Macaca fascicularis: one gene and its partners. The protein of the gene in region 1 interacts with the protein of each later gene in a pairwise test. Links are inferred from orthologs where the notes say so. Each region holds a gene or a part of one and is shown in the gene's direction. Other genes may lie near its edges. The genes, in order: ATPAF2, LZTS2, KRT40, PAK5, LRRFIP2, FSBP and SORBS2.

Evidence for each region.
Region 2: the proteins of ATPAF2 (region 1) and LZTS2 interact in binary tests that used the Homo sapiens proteins (3 or more experiments, as listed by UniProt). The two-hybrid records come from large-scale screens. The link is inferred for Macaca fascicularis from reciprocal best matches to the Homo sapiens genes ATPAF2 and LZTS2.
Region 3: the proteins of ATPAF2 (region 1) and KRT40 interact in binary tests that used the Homo sapiens proteins (3 or more experiments, as listed by UniProt). The two-hybrid records come from large-scale screens. The link is inferred for Macaca fascicularis from reciprocal best matches to the Homo sapiens genes ATPAF2 and KRT40.
Region 4: the proteins of ATPAF2 (region 1) and PAK5 interact in binary tests that used the Homo sapiens proteins (3 or more experiments, as listed by UniProt). The two-hybrid records come from large-scale screens. The link is inferred for Macaca fascicularis from reciprocal best matches to the Homo sapiens genes ATPAF2 and PAK5.
Region 5: the proteins of ATPAF2 (region 1) and LRRFIP2 interact in binary tests that used the Homo sapiens proteins (3 or more experiments, as listed by UniProt). The two-hybrid records come from large-scale screens. The link is inferred for Macaca fascicularis from reciprocal best matches to the Homo sapiens genes ATPAF2 and LRRFIP2.
Region 6: the proteins of ATPAF2 (region 1) and FSBP interact in binary tests that used the Homo sapiens proteins (3 or more experiments, as listed by UniProt). The two-hybrid records come from large-scale screens. The link is inferred for Macaca fascicularis from reciprocal best matches to the Homo sapiens genes ATPAF2 and FSBP.
Region 7: the proteins of ATPAF2 (region 1) and SORBS2 interact in binary tests that used the Homo sapiens proteins (3 or more experiments, as listed by UniProt). The two-hybrid records come from large-scale screens. The link is inferred for Macaca fascicularis from reciprocal best matches to the Homo sapiens genes ATPAF2 and SORBS2.

What each region holds. Positions count from the first base shown.
Region 1 is NC_088390.1:18,141,158-18,144,657, reverse strand, and holds part of ATPAF2 (ATP synthase mitochondrial F1 complex assembly factor 2), read left to right. Parts: intron 1-12; coding exon 13-158; intron 159-1,971; coding exon 1,972-2,069; intron 2,070-3,500. UniProt on the Homo sapiens protein: Plays a role in the assembly of the F1 component of the mitochondrial ATP synthase (ATPase).
Region 2 is NC_088383.1:109,962,960-109,966,459, forward strand, and holds part of LZTS2 (leucine zipper putative tumor suppressor 2), read left to right. Parts: coding exon 1-592; intron 593-1,479; exon of another isoform or gene 1,480-1,910; coding exon 1,911-2,168; intron 2,169-2,922; coding exon 2,923-3,500. UniProt on the Homo sapiens protein: Negative regulator of katanin-mediated microtubule severing and release from the centrosome. Required for central spindle formation and the completion of cytokinesis.
Region 3 is NC_088390.1:62,067,983-62,072,198, reverse strand, and holds the start of KRT40 (keratin, type I cytoskeletal 40), read left to right. Parts: upstream 1-1,416; 5' UTR 1,417-1,470; coding exon 1,471-1,917; intron 1,918-2,615; coding exon 2,616-2,698; intron 2,699-3,311; coding exon 3,312-3,468; intron 3,469-4,216. UniProt on the Homo sapiens protein: May play a role in late hair differentiation.
Region 4 is NC_088384.1:77,744,157-77,747,656, forward strand, and holds part of PAK5 (serine/threonine-protein kinase PAK 5), read left to right. Parts: intron 1-2,398; coding exon 2,399-3,184; intron 3,185-3,500.
Region 5 is NC_088376.1:99,207,095-99,211,080, reverse strand, and holds the start of LRRFIP2 (leucine-rich repeat flightless-interacting protein 2), read left to right. Parts: upstream 1-1,186; 5' UTR 1,187-1,690; intron 1,691-2,887; 5' UTR 2,888-2,954; intron 2,955-3,986. UniProt on the Homo sapiens protein: May function as activator of the canonical Wnt signaling pathway, in association with DVL3, upstream of CTNNB1/beta-catenin.
Region 6 is NC_088382.1:104,083,837-104,087,814, reverse strand, and holds the start of FSBP (fibrinogen silencer-binding protein), read left to right. Parts: upstream 1-1,178; 5' UTR 1,179-1,254; coding exon 1,255-1,628; intron 1,629-3,978. UniProt on the Homo sapiens protein: Transcriptional repressor that down-regulates the expression of the fibrinogen gamma chain. Represses transcription of GSK3B gene promoter via its interaction with APBA1.
Region 7 is NC_088379.1:190,372,412-190,375,911, reverse strand, and holds part of SORBS2 (sorbin and SH3 domain-containing protein 2), read left to right. Parts: intron 1-1,244; coding exon 1,245-1,359; intron 1,360-1,444; coding exon 1,445-1,573; intron 1,574-3,500. UniProt on the Homo sapiens protein: Adapter protein that plays a role in the assembling of signaling complexes, being a link between ABL kinases and actin cytoskeleton. Can form complex with ABL1 and CBL, thus promoting ubiquitination and degradation of ABL1.

The sequences.
Region 1 (3,500 bases):
TGATCTTTCAAGGTGGCTTTGAGATAAACCTGGACCAGAGGAAGCTGAAAACTCCCCAAGCCAAGCTCTTTACCGTCCCCAGTGAGGCCCTGGCCATTGCAGTGGCCACTGAATGGGATTCCCAGCAGGATACCATCAAGTACTACACCATGCACCTGGTAACAAGTTCACAGTGCGAATCTGGACCCTGAGACCCACCCAGGGCTTCCTAGGGTAGATCCCTTACCAAATTCTGACAAGGCCCTGGGGGATGGTCCTTTGCCTACCTGGGCCCCAGGTGTTCACCTCCTCTCGAGTCACTAATGTGCTAAACTCTTTCCTTGTCTGGCCTGGCTACTTGCAGTTCTCTCTCCTAGGAACACTGTGCTGGATGACTGGTTTCTCCTTTGGTTTCAGGACAGATGTCACCTTCACTGACTCCCCAGCTCTCTTATTTTCTATGACAGCAGCTGGCCATTTGTTTTGTCAGCACTTAGACAATTTATAATTGTTTTATGTTTGCACATTTATTGTCTGTCTGTCTCTACTGCCTGGTAAGCAACAGAAAGGCAGGAGCCATGTCTGTTTTACTCACCAGTATCTGGACAGCCACTAGCAGGTAGTTTAGTTGGTACTTAATAAATATTAGTTGACTATAAGACCCACTGGAGGCAGATGGGCGAGGTGAGGAAGACTCCCTATAGAACCAGAGCCCCTCGTCCACACCAAAGTGGCTCATCTAGGCACCAAGGCTGCCTGGGGAAGGAAGGGCCCAGCCAGACTCTTTGGTCCAGCCTCTGCAGCTTCTAAACTGTAACCTTGGGCAGGTTGCTGCCCCTTTCACAGCCCCGTATTCCCCATCTCCTAAAGATGAGTGATAATAGTACCCACCTCACAGAGCCATGGTCAGGATGAGATGAGATGATGCAAGAAAGCCCTTGGCATGGTCCCCAGCACTGACTGGGCACTGAGTCAGTGTAGGAGTCAGCTGCTGTCATCCCAGTCGCTGCTGTGCTCAACCTTTGCAAACTCACATGGGCCTCCTGCCAACATCACAGCCTGCTGAGGTGCTGGCCTAATCCTTGACAACCTAGTGAAATTGGGGTGATTGGGGCTACAAATGAATAGGGTAACCTAAGCAGCCTGTTATTGACAAGGTAAGCCTGGAAAAAAATAATATATATATATATTTTTTTAAACAGAGTCTCGCTCTGTTGCCCAGGCTGGAGTGCAATGGTGCAATCCCAGCTCACTGCAACCTCCGCCTCCTGGATTCAAGCGATTCTCCCGTCTCAGCCTCCCAAGTAGCTGCGATTACAGGCGCCCACCACCATGCCTGGCTAATTTTTGTATTTTTAATAAAAATGGGGTTTCACCATGTTGGCCAGGCTGGTCTTGAACTCCTGACCTCAGGTGATCTACCCATCTCAGCCTCCCAAAGTGTTGGGATTACAGGCATGAGCCACCACACTTGGCCAAAACAAATAATCTTAGTCCTGATTTGCATGGTCTGTTTCCCTCCTTTCTAAGGTGTAAGGGAGGCAGCTGGTAAAGGTTTCCAGTCAGATTTGAGCTCCATCACTGATACGTGTCTTATTAACTGTATTTGATGATGTACTTAACCTAACCTGTCTGGGCCTCAGTTTTCACATCTCAGATGGGCATAATAATAGTACCTATTCCAAAGGGTTGTTGTGAGGATTAAATACACTAGAACCTGGTAATAATGTGACTGTGGGGAGGTTCACTAATCATGGGGCTGCTGCAAGCTTCCCTCAAGTCCTGTGAGCATCGACAGAAAGCATTTGGCATGGGGCCTGGCTGTGGCACACTCTCAGTAGCTGTGCTGCTGCTCCGGTAGTGCAGATGCCTCTGGTGGAGGGCTGTGCTGTGGTGCTATCTGCTATGTGTCAGATGAGGTGTCCTCAGGAAAGCAGGGCTTTTGTCTGAGCCCCACAGGCAGTGACAGGGTGGTTTTTGCCTTTGATTCAGACCACATTGTGCAACACATCCTTGGACAACCCAACCCAGAGAAACAAGGATCAGCTGATCCGGGCAGCCGTGAAGTTTCTGGACACTGACACCATCTGGTAATGGACATTTAGATGGGCATTCCCCTTGGATTGAGACAGTCCCTGGGGCTATTTTTCCTGATTTGCCCAGATGGTTATCAGTGGAAGAAGAAACCCTCTCCATTTATTGCAAGGACAGGGAAGGTGGCCCACTTGACTTTGGCATTTGGCTGCTCTGTAGCCCCTTAGGAGGAGGACTGCTCAGGCTACAATGGTGTTAGAACATGGCCACCCCTCTTCTCTAGCCTAGAAGCTGCTCCTTAGGCTGGGAGGGTGGTTATGCAGCTCTTGCAGGTGCCGTGACCACAGGCTCCTTAGGCCTGGGGGCGCCTGTGACCTTAAACTTCTGCCCACTGACACTTTCTCAGGTAGACATCCTTGGCACTATGGATGCTGATAAGTAGGAGTGTCCTTCTCCAGTTCTGAATTCTCCTCTGTGTCTATATATCTTGGCTAATTGGTCAGTGTTGCCGAAGGAAAGTTGAGAAACAATGGAAATGATTGAGCAGCACGGTGCCTGCTAGCCCAAGTGCTCTAGTATCCTGAGTCATCTCACGATGACACAGGAAGTCAGCACTGATGACTGGAGGCATGCTTTCGAAGTGGGTGGCCCATAGCTAGTGGGAAAGCCCGCTCCATTTATATTAGGTTCACTTGACTTCAGGGAGCAGAAACCCATTCAATCTAGCTCAGACAAAAAGAGGATTCTTGAAAACTATACAGGGATCCTGACAGGAAATGAAGGACGATCGGGCCACCAGGAAAGGGAGCTATAAGATCCAATGTCAGAGCTCCTCCCTGTGCCCTATTGGGGTGAGCGGAAGGTGAGGGAGGAAAGGTTGGCTGCCCATCTGCCCCTCCCAGCATAACTCATGACCTCTCTTCCCCACGTTGCTTACACAAGACGGTGGATTTCCATAATGCCTACTTGGGTTCCCATCCCATAAAACCCTGCAGCTCAGCTCCCCTCAGCTGACTCATGCCTGTGTCTCTTGGTCAAACAAATGACACAGCCTGGCCTCTAGCTTGGTCCCATCAGGTCTGGCATCTGTGCCAGCAGCTGCATCTGTAGCCAGGAGGTGGATGGGCTTGTGAGGTGTAAACAGGCTATTTTGGTCTGTGACCAGGGGCACAGTCTCTTGGAGGGGGTGAGGGTAGAGATGCAAAGACTGAGCATCTGGCACAGCATTCCCATTCAGCATCCAGGTCAAGCGGGTGTGGACCCAGGGTTGCAGTTAGTAGATTGGATCTGCTTTAGAATGACAGTAACATAGCGCAGCAAGCTTGGACCTGTCAAATATTTGGGGGCATTTAGGGTAGTGGTTCTCAAACTCAGGCTTACATTAGAATCCCCTAGAGGGCTTGTTAAAACAGATTGCTGGGCCCCACTTCCAGAAGTTCTGATTCTATAGGGATGCAGCCTGAGAATGTGTATTTCTAATAAGTTCC
Region 2 (3,500 bases), on another chromosome or scaffold:
GTCCCTGCCTAGCTTCATGGGTCCTCGGGCCACCGGGCTGTCTGGGAGCCAGGGCAGCCTGACACAGCTGTTTGGGGGCCCTGCCTCCTCCTCCTCTTCTTCCTCCTCCTCTTCAGCTGCTGACAAACCCCTGGCATTTAGTGGCTGGGCCAGTGGCTGCCCATCAGGGACGCTATCCGACTCTGGCCGAAACTCACTGTCCAGCCTGCCCACCTACAGCACCGGAGGTGCCGAGCCAGCCACCAGCTCCCCAGGCGGGCACCTGCCTTCCCATGGCTCTGGGCGAGGGGCACTGCCTGGGCCAGCCCGAGGGGTCCCTACTGGGCCCTCCCACTCAGACAGTGGCCGGTCCTCCTCCAGCAAGAGCACAGGCTCCCTGGGGGGCCGTGTGGCTGCCGGGCTTTTGGGCAGTGGTACCCGGGCCTCCCCTGACAGCAGCTCCTGTGGGGAGCGCTCACCACCACCCCCGCCTCCACCTCCTTCCGACGAGGCCCTGCTGCACTGTGTCCTGGAAGGAAAGCTCCGAGAGCGGGAGGCAGAGCTTCAGCAGCTGCGGGACAGTCTGGACGAGAATGAGGCTACCATGTGCCAGGTGTGGTCAGAGGCAATGATGGGGAAGGGGCATGGCAGGACATCCCAAGGCCTGGGGAATGAAAGGGGCATTTCCATTTTAGCAGGGAAGAGGGGTTGGGTAGTTGTAGTTGTGACCCCCCTGCCCTCCCCACCAGTTGTCTGGTTTAATTTGTGGAATAGCCAGACGTGGTGGCTCACATCTGTAATCCCAGCACTTTGGGAGGCCGAGGTGGGCGGATTGCTTGAGCTCGGGAGTTTGAGACCAGCCTGGGCAACATGGGGAAACCCCATCTCTCCTAAAAATAAATTAGCTGAGTGTGGTGGCATGTACCTGTAGTCCCAGCTATTTGGGAGGCTGAGGTAGGAGGATCACTTGAGCCCAGGAGGAGGAGGTTACAGTGAGCTGACATTTTGCCATTGCACTCTAGCCTTGGGTAACAGAGCAAGACTGTATCTCAAAACAAGAAACAAAAAACAAAACTTGTGGGGTGGAAAGGAGTCAGAGTGCATGGATTCAAACCTCCCACTGCTAAATACCAGTTTTTGGACTTGAGCAAGTTGCTTAACTTTATTCAGCCTCTATTTCTTCATCTATAACAGGGATATTTCTAGCTTCATAGGATTGTTATGAGGATTAAATAAGGCAAAAGGTGTAAAGTGCTTAGACTAATGCCTGGTATCTAGGAAATGCTATACATAAATGCTTGCTTTTTTTTTTTTTTTTTTGAATTTTTAGTAGAGACGGGGTTCCCACCATGTTGGCCAAGCTGGTTTCGAACCCCTAGCCTCAAGTGAGGCACCCGCCTCAGCCTCCCAAACTGCTGGGATTACAGGCCTGAGCCACTGCACCCGGCCAAGTGCTTTTTTTTTTTTTTTTTTGAGACAGGGTCTCATTCTCTCACCCAGGCTAGAGTGCAGTGGCGCGATTTCGGCTCCTTGTAGCCTCAACCTCCTGGACTCAAGCAGTCCTCCCACCCCAGCCTCCCAAGTAGCTGAAACTACAGGCACACGCCACCACACCAAGCTAATTTTTGTTCTTTGGAGAGGCAAGGTTTTGCTGTGTTGCCTAGGCTGGTCTCGAACTCCGGAGCTTAAGTGATCCACCCACCTCGGCTTCCCAAGATGCTGGGATTACAGGCGTGAGGCACCGAGCCCGGTCTGCTTGCTCTTGTGTTTGTTTCTATGATCATTATAAAAGCAGTTAGTATTGTTGCAATTACTATTGTTGTTTGATGGAATACACCCTTCCTGAGCCCTCAGAAGTGGGCCGCCAGGCAGACACTGAGTGGGGAGTTGGGAAAACTGCCCAGGAGCTGGGTCTGTCTTCTCGCCTGCAGGCATACGAGGAGCGGCAGCGGCACTGGCAGCGAGAGCGCGAGGCCCTGCGAGAGGACTGTGCAGCCCAGGCACAGCGGGCACAGCGGGCCCAACAGCTGCTGCAGCTGCAGGTGTTCCAGCTGCAGCAGGAGAAGCGGCAATTGCAGGATGACTTTGCACAGCTGCTGCAGGAGCGTGAACAGCTGGAGCGGCGCTGCGCCACCTTGGAGCGGGAGCAGCGGGAGCTCGGGCCAAGGCTTGAGGAGACCAAGTGGGAGGTGGGCCAGACCAGGAGGGGCAGGGAGCAGGGTCACACAGGGAGAAACCCTGGAAAAAGGGGCCCAGCCGCACCCTCCCTCAGCCTGCCACCCCCAGAGGTCCTCCCCTTCCTCACCTCCGTGAGATGAAGTTCTCCTCTGTTCCTTTCTGGGAGGAGGGTCTCCTTGTTGGCCTTGTCTAGTGGCACAAAGCCACGCTCCAGCCAGTAGTAAGAATGTGGTGTTTGTGGTGTGGAGGCACTCTTCTAAGCATGTTACATGGGACAGATCATTTCATCCTTGTAACAACACTGAGGGGGCTACCACTAGTCTCCCCATTTTAGAGATGAGTAAACTGAGGCCCAGAAAGACTGGAGTGCCAAATCTGAACCCAGGCAGTCTGGCTCCAATATCTGAGCTCTTAACCAAGTCACTGTAGTACCTCTCCAGTAGACACCTGGGTACTGCCCTCCATTGCCCCCACTCCTGCAGCACCTGCCAGCACCCAGTCCCCAGGGCTCGGTGGTACTTCCACAGTGTCTCGTGATGCTTTGAAGACACCAACTTTGAAGCAAAAAAATCTATGTCTGCTTTCCACTTAAGCCACATCTTCACTCTATGACCTTGGACATGTCACTAGACTTGCCTCAGTGTCTCCATCTATAAAATGGGGATAAAGATGGACTCTCCTCCCGAATGCCCAGCATGATGCACAGGGCCTGTCCCCCCAGGAGAACCTGTCTCACCATCCTTCCCCACTGCCTCCCACCCCCAGGTGTGCCAGAAATCAGGCGAGATCTCCCTGCTGAAGCAGCAGCTGAAGGAGTCTCAGGCAGAGCTGGTGCAGAAGGGCAGCGAGCTGGTGGCCCTGCGGGTGGCACTGCGGGAGGCCCGTGCTACCCTGCGGGTCAGTGAGGGCCGTGCGCGGGGTCTACAGGAGGCCGCCCGAGCTCGGGAGCTGGAGCTGGAAGCCTGTTCCCAGGAGCTGCAGCGACACCGCCAGGAAGCCGAGCGGCTGCGGGAGAAAGCTGGGCAGTTGGATGCTGAGGCGGCTGGACTCCGGGAGCCGGCTGTGCCACCTGCCACCGCTGACCCATTCCTCCTGGCAGAGAGTGATGAGGCCAAAGTGCAGCGGGCAGCAGCCGGGGTTGGGGGCAGCTTGCGGGCCCAGGTGGAGCGATTGCGGGTGGAGCTGCAGCGGGAGCGGCGGCGGGGTGAGGAGCAGCGGGACAGCTTTGAAGGGGAGCGGCTGGCCTGGCAGGCAGAGAAGGAGCAGGTGATCCGCTACCAGAAGCAGCTGCAGCACAACTACATCCAGATGTACCGGCGCAACCGGCAGCTAGAGCAGGAGCT
Region 3 (4,216 bases), about 44 Mb from region 1:
GACACTCTAAGAACTTTTTGCATAAGTGTTGATGTGTAAAGAGAATCACTAAATTCAAACCTAACTCTGCCCAGGGAGTAATAAATCCTCAGAGACTATTTTAACTCACTTACATATGTTCTTCTGGTTTGGTTTCTATTATCAGCTACCTAGGAAGTAGCCCTCAGGATTAGGGGAAAAAATAAGTTTATTCTGGATCAAAAAATTTTTAACTTTTTCAGATTACTGTGTTTTCTTTTCCTATAATGTTCTCAAAAATTCTACAGGCAATTTTCTCTATGCACCTTTGAAAATGAAATAAACATAACGACTAAAACCAAGCAAAGTGAAACAGATTATGCTTCATAATGGAGCTGAAATCCAAGACAGAATCCAAAAAAGTTACACATCTCAAGTTCCTATCTGTCAGATTTGGCACCAGAGATTTCATCCAGTGGAATCACTGATTTGGAACCTAAATAAAATTTTATTTTGCAAGTTCCAGCAGTTTTAATTTTCATGAAATTCAGGCCTTCATAAATAAATAAATAGGAGAAAACAGGCTGTACATCTCAGAAGAAAAGACTCCTGTGGGTTCCTTGTCCCTACTCTGAAGTATAATCATTGAGGAATTCCCAAGGGACTAAAAGGTTATAACTTACAATTTATATTTCACTCTCATTAGAAATACACGTAAAATAGTGTAACTTATCTAATAACAAGAAATGAGAAATGGGGAGAAGGCAAGTTTCAGAAAATCAAAGATCATAATTCCAGCTCTAACCAATTTATATTTTAGCCTGCAGAAAAACAAGTTATTCCTATCAGTTACGTAAAGTGACTTTTCCATTTGTACGCAGGTAGACATGTTTGTATACACACACACAAACACACACACACACATTAAGTCCAATATATAGCTCACTCCTCCAGTCTTGTCAGCACATACTCTGAGAACACAAAAAGCATTGAAAGATTGCTAATCACACTGACCATTTTTATGGTGGTGGCACAAACAAATAAATGTCATTTTATGAGCTGTAATACTAATTTTAAAAGGGGACCCAAGCAATCAATGCACAGAATCAAAATCTGTGGACATGTTATTTTCCTGATTTGTAATGAGTTGTATCTATAATTATTGATTGGCCAAATTTTCTCTTTCTTTTCTTATTCTGTCAAAAGGACAATGTTTCCTATGACAATTTTCTGAAATAAGTGTTTTGTCTGGCACATGGAAATGGTGTAGGTCCTGCTTCGGTAACCTAAAGTTATCCCTCTTTTATGAGGCATAAAACTCTTCCTCAGTAAATAAACAACTCTAATGAGATGTTTGTATGAAAACTGGCACCATCAGTGATAAAGAAAACATCCGGTGCAGTCTGTAAACACCCATTTTGGGGCGTTATAAAACTCTCAGGAGGGAAGGAGAGTTTTGGAGTCAAGGCAACTGAAGTTTTGCAGCCAGCCTCTGTCTTTGCTTCTGGAAGGATGACTTCTGACTGTTCCTCCACACACTGCTCTCCTGAATCCTGTACCACGGCCTCCGGTTGTGCACCTGCCTCAAGCTGTTGCATAGAAACAGCTTGTCTCCCCGGTGCCTGTGCTACATCCCGATGTCAGACTCCAAGCTTCCTATCCAGGTCTCGCGGGCTGACTGGTTGCCTCCTGCCATGCTACTTTACTGGGAGTTGTAACAGTCCCTGCTTGGTGGGGAACTGTGCCTGGTGTGAGGATGGGGTGTTCACTAGCAATGAGAAGGAGACGATGCAGTTCCTGAATGACAGACTTGCCAACTATCTGGAGAAGGTGCGCAGCCTGGAGGAGACCAACGCAGAGCTGGAATCCAGGATCCAAGAACAATGTGAACAGGATATCCCAATGGTGTGCCCGGATTATCAGTGTTACTTCAACACCATTGAAGATCTCCAACAAAAGGTGTGTGTCCTGTTGCCCTAGTGCTCCACCTTCCGGATCTATGACTTGCTTTATCTTTCTACCAGAGGGACGGTTTTCCAGAAGGCAACCAAGGGAAAGGGGAATTCCAGGAGTTAATGGTACATAGGGGAGACCACTGGACTGAAAGTCAGAAAACCTCAGCACCAGCGCCAGAACTACCCCTGATAACTGAGTGACTATAATAAAGTAACTCGCCCTTAGGCTTTTCCTTCATCATCTATAGAATGCAGAAAAACTGTATTACATCCAAAATCGCTTTTGTATTTGACACTGAACATTTATATTATCTGAACACAAATCGTCAAATGCCATCTTTTTAACCACCTAGTAATCATTTGCTTGTCTCCTTGATGAATTTCTATTATTATGGGAGAGGATAGAGTCATAATACAAACTACTGATGGAGAAAACGTTAATGGTGTTCAACTGCCTAGGGATGTTGCAAAGTGTCTTATGTTATTAAAAAACTAAACCTTTTTATTTCTCTATTTTGCTTCTAAATTGGCACTGCTTTTTTCTTCATGAAGCGACAAGGTCAATAAGAAAAGCAGGCTGAGGGTGATTTTATACTTTCTTATAAAGACTTTCAAAAGATAACTAATGGCACAGCTGTTGGATAGAAGTTTATTTAGGTTTCTCTCAAAGAATCATTTGTCACATAATGGCTTGCTTCCCAGATCTTATGCACGAAAGCAGAGAATTCTAGACTTGCTGTACAGCTTGACAACTGCAAACTGGCCACTGATGACTTTAAGTCAAAGTAAGTTTAATTTAATTTAATTTAATTTAATTTAATTTAATTTAATTTACTTATTTTGAGGAGTTTCACTCTTGTCGCCCAGGCTAGAGTGCAATGGCGCTATCTCGGCTCACTGCAACCTCTGCTTCCTGGGTTCAAGCGATTCTCCTGCCTCAGCCTCCTGAGTAGCCGGGATTACAGGCAGGCGTGCGCCGCCACCCACACCCAGCTAATTTTTGTATTTTCAGTAGAGATGGGGTTTCACCATGTGGACCAGGCTGGTCTTGAACTCCTGACCTCAGGTGATCCACCTGCCTCGGCCTCCCAAAGTGCTGGGATTACAGGCATGAGCCACCACACCCTGCCTTAATTTTAATTTGAAAATAATTTATGGCTCGCTCTCTCTCTCTCTCTTAATCTCTCTCTCTCTCACACACACACACCCCCACAAATATTCTCTATATAATATTTTAAAGTCAAGAATGTTTTAAAAGCTTGAATTTATCATTACTTAGGAATTAAGAGAAATTATGCATGTGGCTTCCTGAAGTCCATGTGTCGATCCTCCACGTATCCCCACACTTTGCACAGCGTTCAGCAAAGTAAGCATTGGATTTCTCTTTTGCCGTGAAAGGTACGAGAGTGAACTGTCCTTTCGCCAGCTATTAGAGGCAGACATCAGTGGCCTGCATGGGATCCTGGATGAGCTGACCCTGTGCAAATCTGATGTGGAGGCCCATGTGGAGTCTCTGAAGGAAGATCTCCTTTGCCTTAAGAAAAACCATGAAGAGGTAAGGAAAGCGGCAACGCCACTGAAGGACTCCGAGAGTAACGTACTTAACACTGACAGATGATCTGTTGATGTTTGTAAATCAAATTTGGGCGGATGTTGCTTAAGCTGGAATAAAACTACTCCAGGCAGGGCCAAGCGCGGTGGCTCATGCCTGTAATCCGAGCACTTCGGGAGGCCGAGGCAGGTAGATCACAAGGTCAGGAGTTCGAGACCAGCCTGGCCAATATGATGAAACCCCATCTCTACTAAAAATACAAAAATTAGCTGGGCATGGTGGTGGGTACCTGTAGTCCCAGCTACTCGGGAGGCTGAGGCAGGAGAATAGCTTGAACCCAGGAGGCGGAGGTTGCAGTGAGCCGAGATCTCACCACTGCACTCCAACCTGGGCAACAGAGCAAGACTCCATCTCAAAAAACAAACAAACAAAAAAGCAGAAAAACTACTCGAGGCATTATTACTATTCAACCTGATCATTCCAGCGTGTCTCTGAATTAACATGTGAAATAGCCCCTAGACAGTGCCAGACAAAGGAACCAAACTCTTCTCCTGCCCTTGCCTTTGTGGAGGAGGTGAGTAACTTCACAAATGGCTTCCTTTGGAGGCTTTATGCCACCCCTAGCTCCAATCCACAGGGTATGAAAATCAGTCTGAGAAACAGACTATGAAGTCCGTTTCAAAAAAGGGATAAGGACTCATACACTATCTGGACCAGTGTTTTTAAATATTCCGCATTTATAAACTTTTAA
Region 4 (3,500 bases), on another chromosome or scaffold:
TTGGGTCCATGTTTTTTACTGTTACAGAGCGAAGTTACAGGTAAGTAACGAAATGGCTAGAATGAACTATGTGGTACTTGATCAGATTCAGAGACATTAATATGGATTTATGCTTAGGTTAATATAGATGCAGATGGACAGATATAATTATAGGTGTGTGAGTGTATTCATGAGTTAGTCTACAAACATATTATTTCGGAGCTCTGTTTGCTGAGGCCTGGCAGTGATACCCAGTAGCAATGAGTATTCCCGGAACCAAATCTTAATTTCTAATACTGTTGGGGTTCCTTGGAGAAATGCCTGATTTGGGGGGAAGGGCAGGGAAAATAAAAGATAAACCTGGAGCTTCTTGTAGTGACAGAAAGTCAGGAAGTGCTCGAAAAATAAAAGGAAGAGGGATTGTGAAAGGGACACAGCAGGCAGCCTGAGAGAACTCTCAGTGACAGAAGCTGGAACCACTTGAGCAGCAAGGCAAATAACATAGTTTTGGCTTATAACCCAAAGTATAAAATAAATAACCATGAGTCCATCCATCCTTATAGATAAATAGATAATTGAATAAGTAGGTAAATGGGAGCAAATAAGCAAGTCTGTGCAGAATAATTCCAACTACTTTATATAGATACCCCGCAACATACACACACACACCCCAGAAGACAGAGCTTAAATCCCTGCCCTTTGAGTAGAGGCTACACTTATTGACTTGTTCCCAAATAATACAATATATGGAAAGCTAGGGGAGGGGAGTGGGACAGTGTGTATAAGAAACCTGGCAAATACGACCTCACCCAGGTAGTCAGGGCTAACATCATCATTACTAAGTCATGTCGATGTTATGTACCCTGAACATCATGTGATGAAATGTGACTTTACTCTCTGGTCTTCCTCTTCAAACCAAATAACCTCTGTTTAAACATGGGAAAAACACAAGAAAACCCCAACTGAGGAACATTCTGCAAAATACCTGACCAGTACTCCTCAAAACTGTCAAGGTCATCAAAAAATAAGGAAAATCTGAGACACTGTCAGAGATCAGAGGAAACTCGGAAGACAACAAATAAATGTAACGAGATATCCTGGATAGAACTCTGGAACGCTAGAAGAAAATTAATGAAATCTATAGGAACATGGAGTTTCCTTAATAGCAATGCAAGATATTAACAGAAGGGGAAACTGGATGAGAAGTCTATGAGAACTCTGTATTCTCTTTGCAACTTCTCTGTTAATCTAAAACTATTCTAGAACAAAAAATGTATTTGAAAGAAAAGGGTATAGAACAAAAGCATTAGTCCAGGACTCTGAGAGAAAAAAAAATAAAGCCTCTGTTTCACCATGGATAGATTTATAAAACATCAGCTCCAGGAAAACTTTGACTTCCTCCTCCAGTTTGAAGTCTTCTATTGTACCATCCAAGATGGTTTTGAACTCCTTGCTAGTTGCTCAAAGGTATTTTTCTCCTAAAATCCTGGAAGTCTGAAGTCACAACACTTTGTTCTTTGTTCTTTTATCCACCCCCATCATATTTTCCTGCGAATCCTGTCATTGTCAAGGAACAGCTGACGGTTTTGTAAGTGGTTTGCGATGTCTTTCAGTTCCTGGTATTCTTGTGTTATTTAGGTTCATTAAAGGGAACAATTTGTCACTAAGATCCAGGTGCAACCATCATTACTAAGCCACCCAAAATTCAGCGATGATGTTACGCAGAAGTGTGGCCAGAGCAAACAAGCTGTATAGTATAAGTATATATACTTAATAAGAATATCACATTTCATCATAAATCACACAAATAATCTTCAGGCTGTTTCCTAATTACAGTTTCAAGAAGTGCCTTCCTCATCTATAAAATTTCATAACCTCAGTTATTATGTGTCTTCCATATAAGGGTAAAAAATGTACACCCATTTCTAGTTATGTTAATACTTGGGCGACAATGCCTTCTGGTTTTGAAAATCATCTGAATAATGAATGTAAAACAGTAATAAATATTATTTTTTATTACCAAACAGTTATAGAGTGTTAAATTGTAATTATCAGCTCATCTATAGATGGTTGGGGCTTATTATTTAGGTAGAAGAAGCAGGGGGAAGGGATTTGCCTGTAAACTGGTAAATGAAACAGTGAGAGCCTATGTAGTCTCGTACATGGCTTTTTGGTGGTTAATTGATGTCTCTATTGAGATAGGTAGGAAGAAAATTGCAATTTGAGATTATTGTCTACTATTTCATTTATTTCACCACTACAGTTAATCAACGATTTTTTCTTTGTCATTTTGTATTAAGTGTTCCTGGGGTCTTTTTCCTTCTGTAGTTTAATTTGGATGGAGTGGGGGTGGGATGCCGCCGTCAACTTAAAGTCATGAAATATTTTCCTCAAACAGTATTCCTTTTATTATCCCCAGACAATCGTTAGAGGAAACAAACCCTGCAAGGAAACCTCCATCAACGGCCTGCTAGAGGATTTTGACAACATCTCGGTGACTCGTTCCAACTCCCTAAGGAAAGAAAGCCCACCCACCCCAGATCAGGGAGCCTCCAGCCACGGTCCAGGCCACGCGGAAGAAAATGGCTTCATCACCTTCTCCCAGTATTCCAGCGAATCCGATACTACTGCTGACTACACCACCGAAAAGTACAGGGAGAAGAGTCTCTATGGAGACGATCTGGATCCGTATTATAGAGGCAGCCATGCAGCCAAACAAAATGGGCACGTAATGAAAATGAAGCACGGGGAGGCCTACTATTCTGAGATGAAGCCTTTGAAATCCGATTTCGCCAGATTTTCTGCTGATTATCACTCACATTTGGACTCACTGAGCAAACCAAGTGAATATAGTGACCTCAAGTGGGAGTATCAGAGAGCCTCGAGTAGCTCCCCTCTGGATTATTCATTCCAATTCACACCTTCTAGAACTGCAGGGACCAGCGGGTGCTCCAAGGAGAGCTTGGCATACAGTGAAAGTGAATGGGGACCCAGCCTGGATGACTATGACAGGAGGCCGAAGTCTTCGTACCTGAATCAGACGAGCCCCCAGCCCGCCATGCGGCAGAGGTCCAGGTCAGGCTCGGGGCTCCAGGAACCGATGATGCCATTTGGAGCAAGTGCATTTAAAACCCATCCCCAAGGACACTCCTACAACTCCTACACCTACCCTCGCTTGTCCGAGCCCACAATGTGCATTCCAAAGGTAACGTTTGCTACCTCCTTTCCCTGAAGTGTACAAAAACCTCCACAAGGGTGGTGCTGGGATGATCTTTTTATACGATCAGATTGCCAACTACTTGTTTGCCTTTTAAGGGAAAATTAATATCAAAACCCACCCTGTCTCCACTTTTGAGGCCCCAGGGCAGAAGATTTAGGATAAGGCATATATATTCATTAAAATCAAAACCTATCTTTTGGGCCCTCCTACCTGGTTTCTCATTAAAAGGCAAATAAACTTATTTATTTGAAAGATATTCTGATATATGAGTGATAAATATGATGTGACTGTATTTCACTAA
Region 5 (3,986 bases), on another chromosome or scaffold:
TGTTTCTCAAAGCTGATGGGTATAATTGTCCTTGTCTCTCGAACCTTCCCCATTAGTGCCACAGTGGCAGCCCCCATAAACTGTAAGGGTGATCAAGCCTTCTGAAATTGCAGGGGAAGTGGGCAGCACAGAAACAGTCCTTAAAAGGCTTTAGAGACAGGTGCTCAACATGGAATTAGTGGGCTTATTCAGGGGCTTCTGGAATCTGCAGTCCCTGTATGTAAAGTTGTGGTTAGGTGTATTTCGTGCCTTTTTTGTTAGGAGGCTCCTCAACTATCACTTCCTCCGAGAGGTCTTCTCTAGCCATCCTATCCAGCCAGAGGCCTCGTCCACAAAATCTTTTTCATCACTCTGTGTGTTTCCTGCAAAGCCTTACTACACCTGTCATTACCTTGTTTGTTTGCTTCAGTCCGTCTATTCCACTAAGGTGAGCTTTCCAAATGCACAACCCTGGTCCTTCCCCAGTGGCTTGAACCTGGTGGGCCTCGTTAGATACTTCCGGAATAAATGACAAGTCCGTGTCTATCAGATTTTTAACACACTTTATACTCCTCCATCCATCCCGCTCTCCGTCCCCCACTCCACCTCTCGGGCAAGTATTCTTCTCCAGAAATAATTTTAAGGTCATGCGTCTTCATTTTTGAAGTGAAGCTTGGGCATTTCGACCACACCCACCCACCCTCCCTCGCATACTCGTTTCCTAACAGAGCGTTACTCCAGCCCACTTGCCCAAGCCCACCAGGCCGCAGGGTTTAGGAGCAACCAGGGTAAGGGCAGCCCTGAATCGGAACAAGTGTCAATTCACATTACCGGCACTGGTCCTGGTTCGGAAAGCCTGGGCAGGAACCGTGCGACCCAGAGAAGCCACCCGCCCAAGGCCGCCTCCAGCCTCCGCCCCACCAGCAGCCCAGGGCCCCGCCCTACCAGCAGCCGCGCCTCGCCGCCCTCCCTCCAGCTTGGCCCTAACGGCTCGCAATGGCGGAACAGGGAGGCAGGAGCACCGCCGCTTGGGGAACCTCACCCGCCGGCCCAGGGCTCAGCTCGTCGTCTGACAGCCCCGCGTACTTTGCCCAGCGGGGTGCAAGGCCGGCCTGCGGCAAACGCCACTCCCGGGCAGTCACGGCCACAACTGCTTCCGGGTGAGCGGGTCGTCGACCCTGTGGCCCCGCCCATCCTTTGCCTCCTCAGTCGGCCGCTCAGGCTGCGGCTCCTCCCGGGGCCGGTTCCCGCTGTCTCAGCCGCGGCGCAGAGGGCACTTCGGCCTGACCGACTAGCCGGCTGCCGGTGCCGGGAGCCGCCGCGTCCATCCCCGCCCGCCTGGCCGGGGGACCCAGGACTGAGTCGTCCAGCTGCGCCCCTCGCCCCTAGCCCCAGCGGGCGCCGGGCGGGCAAGCCGCTCTTCGGCCCTTCCCGGACAGCGACGCAGTCACAGCGCGCGCCCTAACCCAGGTAAGGGCCGCTCCTCCCGCCAGCCCGGTGGGAGCAGGGAGCAGGGAGTTGGGGACCTTCCTCCCGGCCTCCGCAGTCCCGTGGGATCCGCGCCGCCTCTGACCTCGGCTAGGGGGCCGGGCTTCCCTGGGGACTGGCCGGCCCCCGGCAGGCTCCCGGACTGGGGTCGCCCCCTGCCTGCGGCGTTCTCAGACATCCCGTCTGATTTCTAACGCTCACCCTTCCTCCGCGCAGGGGAAAGGTACGTGTTACTCCCACTGTGGGAGAAATTAAATTGGGCAGCTGTCCCTCCGTTTCGGGTGCCCCAGGCGCCTTCTCTTCCTCCCTAGATGCCACACTCCAGTTCTGTCCTGGGACGAGCACCCCCAGGGAACGGTGTCAGGACGGTGTAGGGCGTAGCATTTTTTGGGGAATTTTACTTCTTCCTTGACCTGAGCTGGAGCGCGGGTTTAACAGGCCCTAGCTGGGTTAATACTTGACTAATATGAGGCGTTATTGACACCCAGATTGTTAAGTTACAGAGCTCCAGTCAACCCTGCCTGTGAGTAACCGGCAGGATGCAGGAGGACCTAAGGAAACCCACTTCTTTTTCTTTCTTAGAGAGAAAAAAGTTCAAGTGTTTGCTTTACTTTTTCCACCGTGGGAGCTACAAATACAGGCTGCTGAGACATGACTAGATAAATATTGTATCCTAAACCTTAACTGTTAGTAGCTGGTTTTCTTTGAGTTTCCATTTAATAACTCAGCATTTCTAGTATAAACAAAAAAATTGTAGAGTGGATTGATTGACTAAAAATGAGATGTAAGGATAAGAGTGGTTCTTAATTTTTTTATGTTGTCATAGTTGGAAGAGAATGTGGATGCAGTAATGGAACAGAGAGGGAGAGCAGGGTGTGGATGTATAAGTTCTTAATCAGTGTTTAAAATAATATTTTTTCAAGATAACATTTTATTTTGGGGATAAATCTATATGAAAAAGTGCAATTATTGGAGAATGCAGTGTTGCAAATAGAGTTAGTTGGCAGGGACTCCAAGGTTGTTGCAGCACTAACCCTGTTTAACCAACATCATGCTCTGTTTAACAGATACAGAGATAATGACCTAGTATTATAATATACTTATGTAGAATAAGAATTTCGGAAAGTGTGATTCATTTCGAAGGTAGATCACTCACTTTGTGAATCATTGCTATGAATCTGAAAATTGAAATAGAGAAAAGCTAAGTTCGTGTCTGCCTAATGAGATGGCATTCTTTACTCATTTAGTAGAAAGTGTTGTATTATGTTTTGTTAGGTCTGTTGCTGGATATTTGTCATCATGAAGAATGGTAATGAAATAAAAGTTGAAGTATTTGCAGAATGCTCGAATTTAGAATAGTCTGTTGGTTTTTAAGTGATTGTTTTGGTTTTACCCTTCCCCCCACTTTTTTTTTTGCCAGATGTGGGAAGATAAATGAAGGGGTCTAGAAGTAAGTGTCAGTGGAAAGGAGAGCTACCATCACTAAGGTATGAAAATGTTCACTGAAAGAATTTGCACTATACAAAATAGTCTTTTGAGTGGAAAGCATCACCCATTTTTGTGATTCTGTCTTTAAAAATGTAGAATGAAACTACATGAGTTATTATTTAAGTTCTGTTCTAGAAGAAAGTGTGTATTGAAGTTGTGATTGGAATGGATTCACTTTAAACTAGAAATAGCTTTTTATTGCTGAAATGTAATTTGATCATTTTTGACTTTCAAGTGTTAAGTAAAATAAGGTTGAAATCACAGAGTTCTTGATACCCTTAGCCTTGTTTTTCTTTTCCTTCTGTTGGAGTTCAGCTGATTTTTTACCTTGATTTTCATTTATGAAGAACTTTAGCTAGTTATAAAGTAATGGCAAGTCTGTCCTGTTGGTCTAGCTTACTAACTTCCTTTACTTCTTTCACTAAATTTTGACATCTTCTTTTACTTTGGATATCCATTATATTCAGAGTGTTCCCTAATGTTGCTTTTGATTTTTGTCCAGCTAATAGTGACTAAAGAGTTTCAGTTCCCTGTGAACACAGATTCCCTTTTGGAAAATCCCTTGTGGAAATCACCGTAACTGACAGTCTTGATAGGTAAATACGCAAGGGAAACCTTTCCAGGTCAGGATTTAAGTATCTCTGTAATGAAAGGAAAAGGTGATATGGAGAATGCATTTGGCAAAGTATTTCTGTCTCTCAAAACAAAAACAAATCTTGGTTAGATGTGAATTTAGCAAGAGGGAGGGAGCAATTTCTTGCAAAACTGTTTGTGGATTGTTTAGCCTGTTGCTAGTGTGAGAAGGAACAGAATTGATGATATATAGAAAAAAAATAATTCTTGTAGTGTGTTGGGAATGTTGACGAGTATCATTCAAAACGAAATAAAATTCTTCCGTCTTTACCTTAGGATCATTATCCATTGCACCTGCAAAATAGAGGCTGTTTCATAGCTTTTTCCTTTTAGGTAGTTGCTTTCCATCTGGAACATCTAAATTGAGAGATGGTCCTTTAATGGGGAAAATGTACTAC
Region 6 (3,978 bases), on another chromosome or scaffold:
GTAGGTGCTATATTTAGATTCACTTTTGATTTCATTGGGTCTTGCACAGTGCCTGGGAGCATTTATATATGTGGTCAGTAATTAAAAAAAAATTATTTTTCCCACCTCTTAATACTTTGCAGTTGTTCAGTAATAGTTTGATTGGATAGAACTATGTTCAAGTATGTTCTGATTTATTCCCCTACCTGGAAAAACATGTATATTGTGAGAAAATAGGTTTGTCTTGCTTACATTATTATGTATCATATATTTTCATACTGGGGTTAACAAATATATTCTAAGTACTGAAACTGGTGGCCTTGAAAATGGCTATACTAGCTGTTTCCTTTCATAGTCCAAACTGTGTGAATATAGCTAAATAAAAAATCTGGCTGTATTATAATAGCAAATGCGATTTCGTGTGTGGAGTCTTAAGGCGTGATTATACTGTTTCTCACCATGAATAGTGATTTTTTACACATGATAAGGCAGGCTAGCATATTCACATACATTACGGCTAGAATAATCCATTGCTCTAAAAACATGATTTTTAGATTGAGTGTTCTATAAAAATTTTTTCTTAACTGAAAAAAATATGCAGAGGCTAATGTAGACTGTAAAATGAAGGAGAAGCTTAGCTTTACCGTGGAGTCTGGGTCTGGGTGTAACCTAACTAGCTAGGGGATATGCAATTCCTGATTGACAGCAGGTCCAGCATTATGCAGATTTTGTAAGGGAGAACACTCAGCTCAGAAACAGTGATGAGAGGCTCTGTTAGGAATTACTGCATTCACCACTCATATCTTTTAGTTTTCTGTCTACTGGATTTGCAAACAAATAGCACAAAACAGTTCCTCTTTTGTTTTTATTAAAGTGATACTGCAATGCAGTTCAGTCTGTCAGCTAGGCATACGTGTGAAATTTGATATTCTCACTAAATTAGCTAATTTTTAGCTGTGTTCCATGCTTATCTCTAGACCTTTGTGTATTAAATCCTGTCTCGAGCTGTTCCTTTTATACACAAGTGTGTTTTGCTTGTGCCTTCCTGTCTTCTTCAGTGAGAAGCTTTATGTAGGTCAGGCTTGGCTTAAGCAGATTTCCTGAACCTGCGTCAGCTTAAGCTGGAGGAATTTTAATAAACCCTCCCCTGTAGGCGTGGGCCTAAATGAGGCTAGCCTAGTTAAGCCTGATCTTTTTCTGTTTGTGAAAAGAGCTGAGCAGAGCTGAAGGCTGCATGGTGGTTTCAGAAACTGCCTACTTAATTTGAAAAGAACAATGGTAGGAAAGGCTAGATCTTCCAATTTTACCTTATCCGAAAAGCTTGATTTGCTAAAGCTTGTGAAGCCATATGTGAAAATTCTCGAAGAACACACTAATAAACATTCAGTAATAGTGGAAAAGAATAGATGTTGGGATATCATAGCAGTTAACTATAATGCAATTGGAGTAGACCGCCCTCCTCGAACAGCACAGGGCCTACGCACCCTTTACAAAAGGCTCAAAGAATATGCCAAACAGGAGCTATTGCAGCAAAAAGATACCCAATCAGATTTTAAAAGCAATATTTCTGAGCCAACCAAGAAAGTTATGGAGATGATTCCCCAGATTTCCAGTTTTTGCCTGGTAAGAGACAGGAACCACATACAAAGGTAAGCTTTATTTTGTTTTGTTATGGAAAATTATGGCGCCTCCTATCTATTGGGCTTTGGCTTAGTCGTGATAGAGATATGCATAGTAAGCATCCCCACAACGGGAGCAATGAATAGTGTCTTTGTTTTGCATTTTTTAAAAAGAGAAAAGTGAGGCTATGAGGAATTTTTCTGTTGCATTTAAGCTACTTTTTACTGTCTTCCCCTCCCCCTTCCCTCCTGTAGTTTCTAAAAGTAAAGGTTAGGGAGGAATAAGTGGGATGAAATTTGTGACATAACTTCATAAACTTTTGAAGCTTTAAAATTAAATTATTTTGTTTGCTTCTGAGAGATACTTTTTTTCTCTTTTAGTATTACATTTCACTGGAATTTTCAATTTTATATAAAATTTATATAAAGTTAGCAGTTTCTAGAGAAATGGAACCTTTGTTTTTTATGAATTGTCATTGTCTACACTTACTGAATATGTGTTAACTAACAAATATAACTTAAATCAATAAGTAAACTTGTTAATGGCATGATTGTGTATATGAAGACAGTTTAAATTATTTTTCTAACACATTTAAAATAAAGATGAACGCAACTAAAGGGAGTTAATGCCTAATTAGGGATTCAGTTTACTTAATACAATTAAAAGTTTTTTTTTTGTTTTTATTCCTTAATGGTCTAGTTTCACTTTGATCTTGGATCATATAGGAAAGAGTAAACTTTCTCTTACTGCTTTGCAAGGATATCAAATTATGAATTTTAAAATACCCCTAAGAGCAACTGGGTTATTTTAGAGTTAGAAGCAATTTTTTGGTTAAACTTGTGTTCTATGTAACTGTTTGCCTTGGAATTTTCAAAAGTATTATCTTGCCACTAATTCAGATTGTAACCTCTGGCAAAATATAAAGATGGCAGCTACATTCTTATTCTGAACCATTTAGATTAATTTAAACAAATTGTAAACTCCTTGTTAGTTTGAGGAGCCTTTCACACAAAGCTTTACACAATGTGCTTTTCTATTGGTGGAAGAGGCATTATATAAGCAAATTATTGATTACTGTGAAATCCCTTTGAAATTAGAAGAGAAACAGAAAAAAACCACTTTGTAGCCAAGTGCATATGTTATTTTGGTAATTTACTAGGAAAGTATTTTTGAGCCTAGCTTCTTACCAGATATTGCTTATTTCTACTTGATAGCACAGTAAAAAAATACCACCAGTGGGAATCCAGGACGTGAATGCACAGTGGATTAATTCTTGGGGCCACTGGTTAAAATGTTCACTGTGATGACAAAAGATGAAATCCCAATAGCTGGATATCCAGAAAACTACACAGTAAAATTGTTTTATACTATGCTACTTATGCAGAATTTTGTCCCCCTTGAACCCTGGAGAAAAATGCTTTTTGCATTGCAGGTATAAAACTGTACCCTGTGGTTAGTAGGTATAGGTTTTTATAATTTGAAAACTACATGTAGAAACTGTGATTTTAATTAGTTGCATATTTTAAAGATACAGTGAGTATAGAAGAGAAACAATATATAAATATACAAGTATCTGGTTATATTTTGACCATTTGTGTGTGTATGTTTACAATATTCACACACAAAAAAATCTTTTGGGATATCAACATTTCTCTGATAAAAATGAGTTGATTTGTGCGTTTCTATACCTATGACTTAAATAATATCAATTTGTTAGGTTTTAAAGGGAAGAATGTGAGAAACATCCCTCTTAAATTCTTGTGTTACTGTGTCTGCATTGACATTTTCTCTGTGTTAGCTTATTTCTTTAATCTATATATTTAATGTGCTTATATTTATTTGATTGACATCATCCTTGAATCTTAATAATCTCAGAAGTTTATAATTATTCTATAATCTTAACTATACTTCTACATAAATATGCCTGTTAATCTTACCAAACTCTTCCTTTTTAATAAGGAAAATACAAGTGTTTGCGTTGTTTAAAATACTTAAAAATATATACCTGTTTTGTAAGGCTATTTATTTCAGTAACTCACATTGACTTATGTCTTTATTTTTACCTCTTCCTAATATCAGTTTTTATTTTGTGTTTTTGTAAACTGATCTTCAAAGTTCTGATTCTCAAGTCCTTCTCTGTCATTTTTGTGACCTGCTCTAAAGCTTTTTTTCTCCCTTTTTACATTGTTATGCCTTAGTTGTAATGTTTTAGCTAAAATGGAATGGAATGTTCCAGATATAAGGCATATTTTTAATTTACTTGGGAGTATAATGTCTATGTTTATACTCTTATTTTACCTACTAATTTGAAATAGTAATTATGTGATTTTAAAAACTTAATTTTCATATGCAATTTTAACCTTTTCCCATTCCAGGTTT
Region 7 (3,500 bases), on another chromosome or scaffold:
CTGTGAATCTTTTTTGTTTTTAGGGTTACTGAAAATTTAACACATTTTCAGTTGTGAAGATTTTAGCACTTCTAAATGTGTGATCATTCCTTTAATATGCCACCATTTTTTCCATCAATTATTTTAATCAGTGAGAAGTGTTCTCCATCAGGCATCAATCTCTCTCCATCATATGGCATCTACTGATAAATGATCCAACTGAAAATTCTGAACCAAAATTTTTTTTAAAAGATTAAAGAAATGAAAATTCTGAACAAAACAATGCAGAAGATTCCAGAGTGGGAAGGCAGATGTATTGCAAAGCAAGGCTCTCGGGAGAAGATACAAATTAATCGCCCTCCATCCAAGAATACTTGTGGAGGCAACATAATGAACCAACCTAATCACCTGGTGATTAAGCCAGGAAAAATCAGTGTAGTGAAGGTGATAAATTTAGGTGTGAATTATTCAAAATGAATAATGTCATTATAACTTAAAATTATAAATGCCCAAATCAAATATACCTACAATTTTCTTAGAAATAGCCAAAATGGAAAAATACAGTTAGTGTCTTAAAAAATATTTTTATTTTTTATAAATAAAAGATAGAAAGAAGACAAACATTGGCATGTCTTTGCCCTTAAAACACGTTCTTTGTGCCCCATTGAAAATTAAAAGCGTAAGATCTTTTCTGTTACACAAAATAAATTCCTTATCAAGATAGTCTATTAAAATATCTGTCAACCAACTTCAAAGATCCACAAATAAAGTTTGTTCTGGTGTTGGCACTTCTATTCTGAGGCTACATGAGATTTGTTTGCCTTCATGTAAGCTTCAGTACATCAAAAGGGGCTGGGGGGCTGGTAACTAACTAGCCAACTAGCTTCAAGACAAAAAAAAAAAAAAAAAAAAATCAGTGCAGAACTATTCCATCATTTTCCAAGCTTCAAAATGCCTCTTTTCTGAACTAATGATAAAGTAGCAAGAGTCTGTCCCCTCCTTTAAACTTCATATTAATCTGTCCATGATTTATACCCAATGGAATGTTACTCTTTTTGAAATCATTTCTAAAGTTATGATGTTTTAAGTGCCTTCTAAGAATTTGCAAGGATCTTTCTTATCTAATCGGACTCAACTCAATCTCAAATCGGATTTTTTAATATTGTAAGTGTATTTGCCAAACAAATGCCGATCTAGCGAGGGTGCTGATCTTCAGAATTATCGCTGTACATCATGAGAAGACCATGTCAACGTGTTTCTTCCAGGGAGCTGTCATTTAAGAAAGGAGATACCGTCTACATCCTCAGGAAAATCGATCAAAATTGGTATGAGGGAGAACACCACGGCAGAGTGGGCATCTTCCCGATCTCATACGTAGAGGTAAGCCCTCTGCCTTTCTCTCTTGGATGGTGGTGGTTTCCAGGGTCACCACAGATTTGAGAATAGATGACCATTTCCTTCACAGAGACTCACACCTCCCGAGAAAGCACAGCCCGCGAGACCACCTCCGCCAGCCCAGCCCGGAGAAATCGGAGAAGCTATAGCCAAATACAACTTCAGCGCAGACACAAACGTGGAGCTGTCACTGAGAAAGGTAGCCCAGCTGCTTTTTGTTGTTGTTGTTGTTGTTGTTGTTGTTGTTGTTGTTGTTGTTGTTGTTGTTTCGTCAGTGTTTGAAAAGGCTGTGTATTTTCAAAACGAAAATAGGTTATCTTTTTCTTTAGACATTTTAATGTCAGCCCTATTTTCTACAAAGGACTCCCTAAGGCAGCCCAGAGTCACGGTTCCCTGCTGGTCCCTGTGTCCTTTCAGAGGAGTTCCCTGTGGGATACCAGGCTTCTCCCTCTGTGACTCAGTCCGGGAAACTGGGCAAGGGGCTGAAAAATCAAGGACGTATACATTCGGGAGCACAAAAGGAAAAAGCAGTTTGATACACTTCAAAATATTGTTGTTTTGCTGCCTTATTTTTCAATCTTTTAGAAACAAGATAATCCAATCCTTATCTTCCTCTATCTTGGAATCTAGGAATGGTCCTAGGTGAAGAAAATCCTTCCTCTTGGGGAGCTGCTTTAAGAACCGCCTGTGCAGTGCTCTTCCCTGGATCATCCTTCTTTGGGTCTCATAATTGACCCAAATTTCTCTAGCAGCCCATCCAATCCTAGCATCTCTTCTTAATAATATCAAAAGACTCGAGGCCGGGCGTGGTGGCTCACTCCTGTAATCCCAGCACTTTGGGAGGCCAAGACAAGTGGATCATGAGGTCAGGAGTTCAAGACCAGCCTGGCCAACATGGTGAAACCCCATCCCTACTAAAACTACAAAAATTAGCTGGGTGTGGTGGTGCACACCTGTAGTCCCAGCTACTTGGGAGGCTGAGGCAGAGAATTGCTTGGACCCGGGAGGCGGAGGTTGCAGTGAGCTGAGGTAGTGCCACTGTACTCCAGCCTGGGCAACAGAGCAAGATTCAGTCTCAAAAAAAGAAAAAACAAAAAACAAAACAAAACAAAAAAAACTCTTCTTGCTACTTTACATAACTGAGAATGATAAATCAACTATTTTTATTGCTTTCTAAACATGACATATATTTGTTTGAGGTAACTGCCTCTGCACACAACACAGGCAAGATAGTAATATTTAGAGTGGCTCTAGGACTTCCCACGCCTACTAGTGAAATCCTTAGCCAGGTGCGATGAAGGGCAATACCACAGTCCTGGTTTGTTCTGGTCCTGGCAGAACCTTGTCTCATTCTCTCCTATCAGTCCTAATTCGGCATCATCAGCCGATTCCTTCTTTCCTACCCTCTGGGCTGCGCCACCCAGCATTACATGAACTCTATCTCCTATTCCATGCTCTACGGAAAGGCTTCACCAGTGCCTCTTACAGCTCACACAGGAGCCTAGCAACTGCCTGTTCTTGGTGTACTAGAAAATCAGTGCAATTTTCAGATTTTGGGGAGACTGACTTTTCGTTTTTCTTTCTTTCTTTTTTTTTTTTTTTTCTTTTTTTGAGATGGAGTCTCACTCTGTCACCCAGGCTGGAGTGCAATGTGTATTCTCAGCTCACTGCAACTTCCGCCTCCCAGGTTTAAGCGATTCTCCCACCTCAGCCTCCGGAGTAGCTGGGACTACAGGTACCCACCACCACACCTGGCTAATTTTTGTATTTTTAGTAGAGACGGGGTTTCACCACGTTGGCCAGGCTGGTCTTGAACTCCTGACCTCATGATCCACCCACCTTGGCCTCCCAAAGTGCTGGGATTACAGGCATGAGTCACCGCACCCGGCCTGAGACTGACTTTTCTTGAGTATGTGCTGCTCAGTCACCACTGAGCACACAAAATCAACCATCCAGTGTTTTGACACAAAGAGAACTTTCCCCAAGTGCTACTCAAGGTCGAAGTTCTTCTTGGGTAGCACCTGAAGAAGGGTGCCCTATTGGGCTGAGATTAATGACTGTTTCAGCTCCATCACACCTTCAGGTGCCGCTGCCAAGCTTCTGTATCACCTGCTGAATGCAGCTGC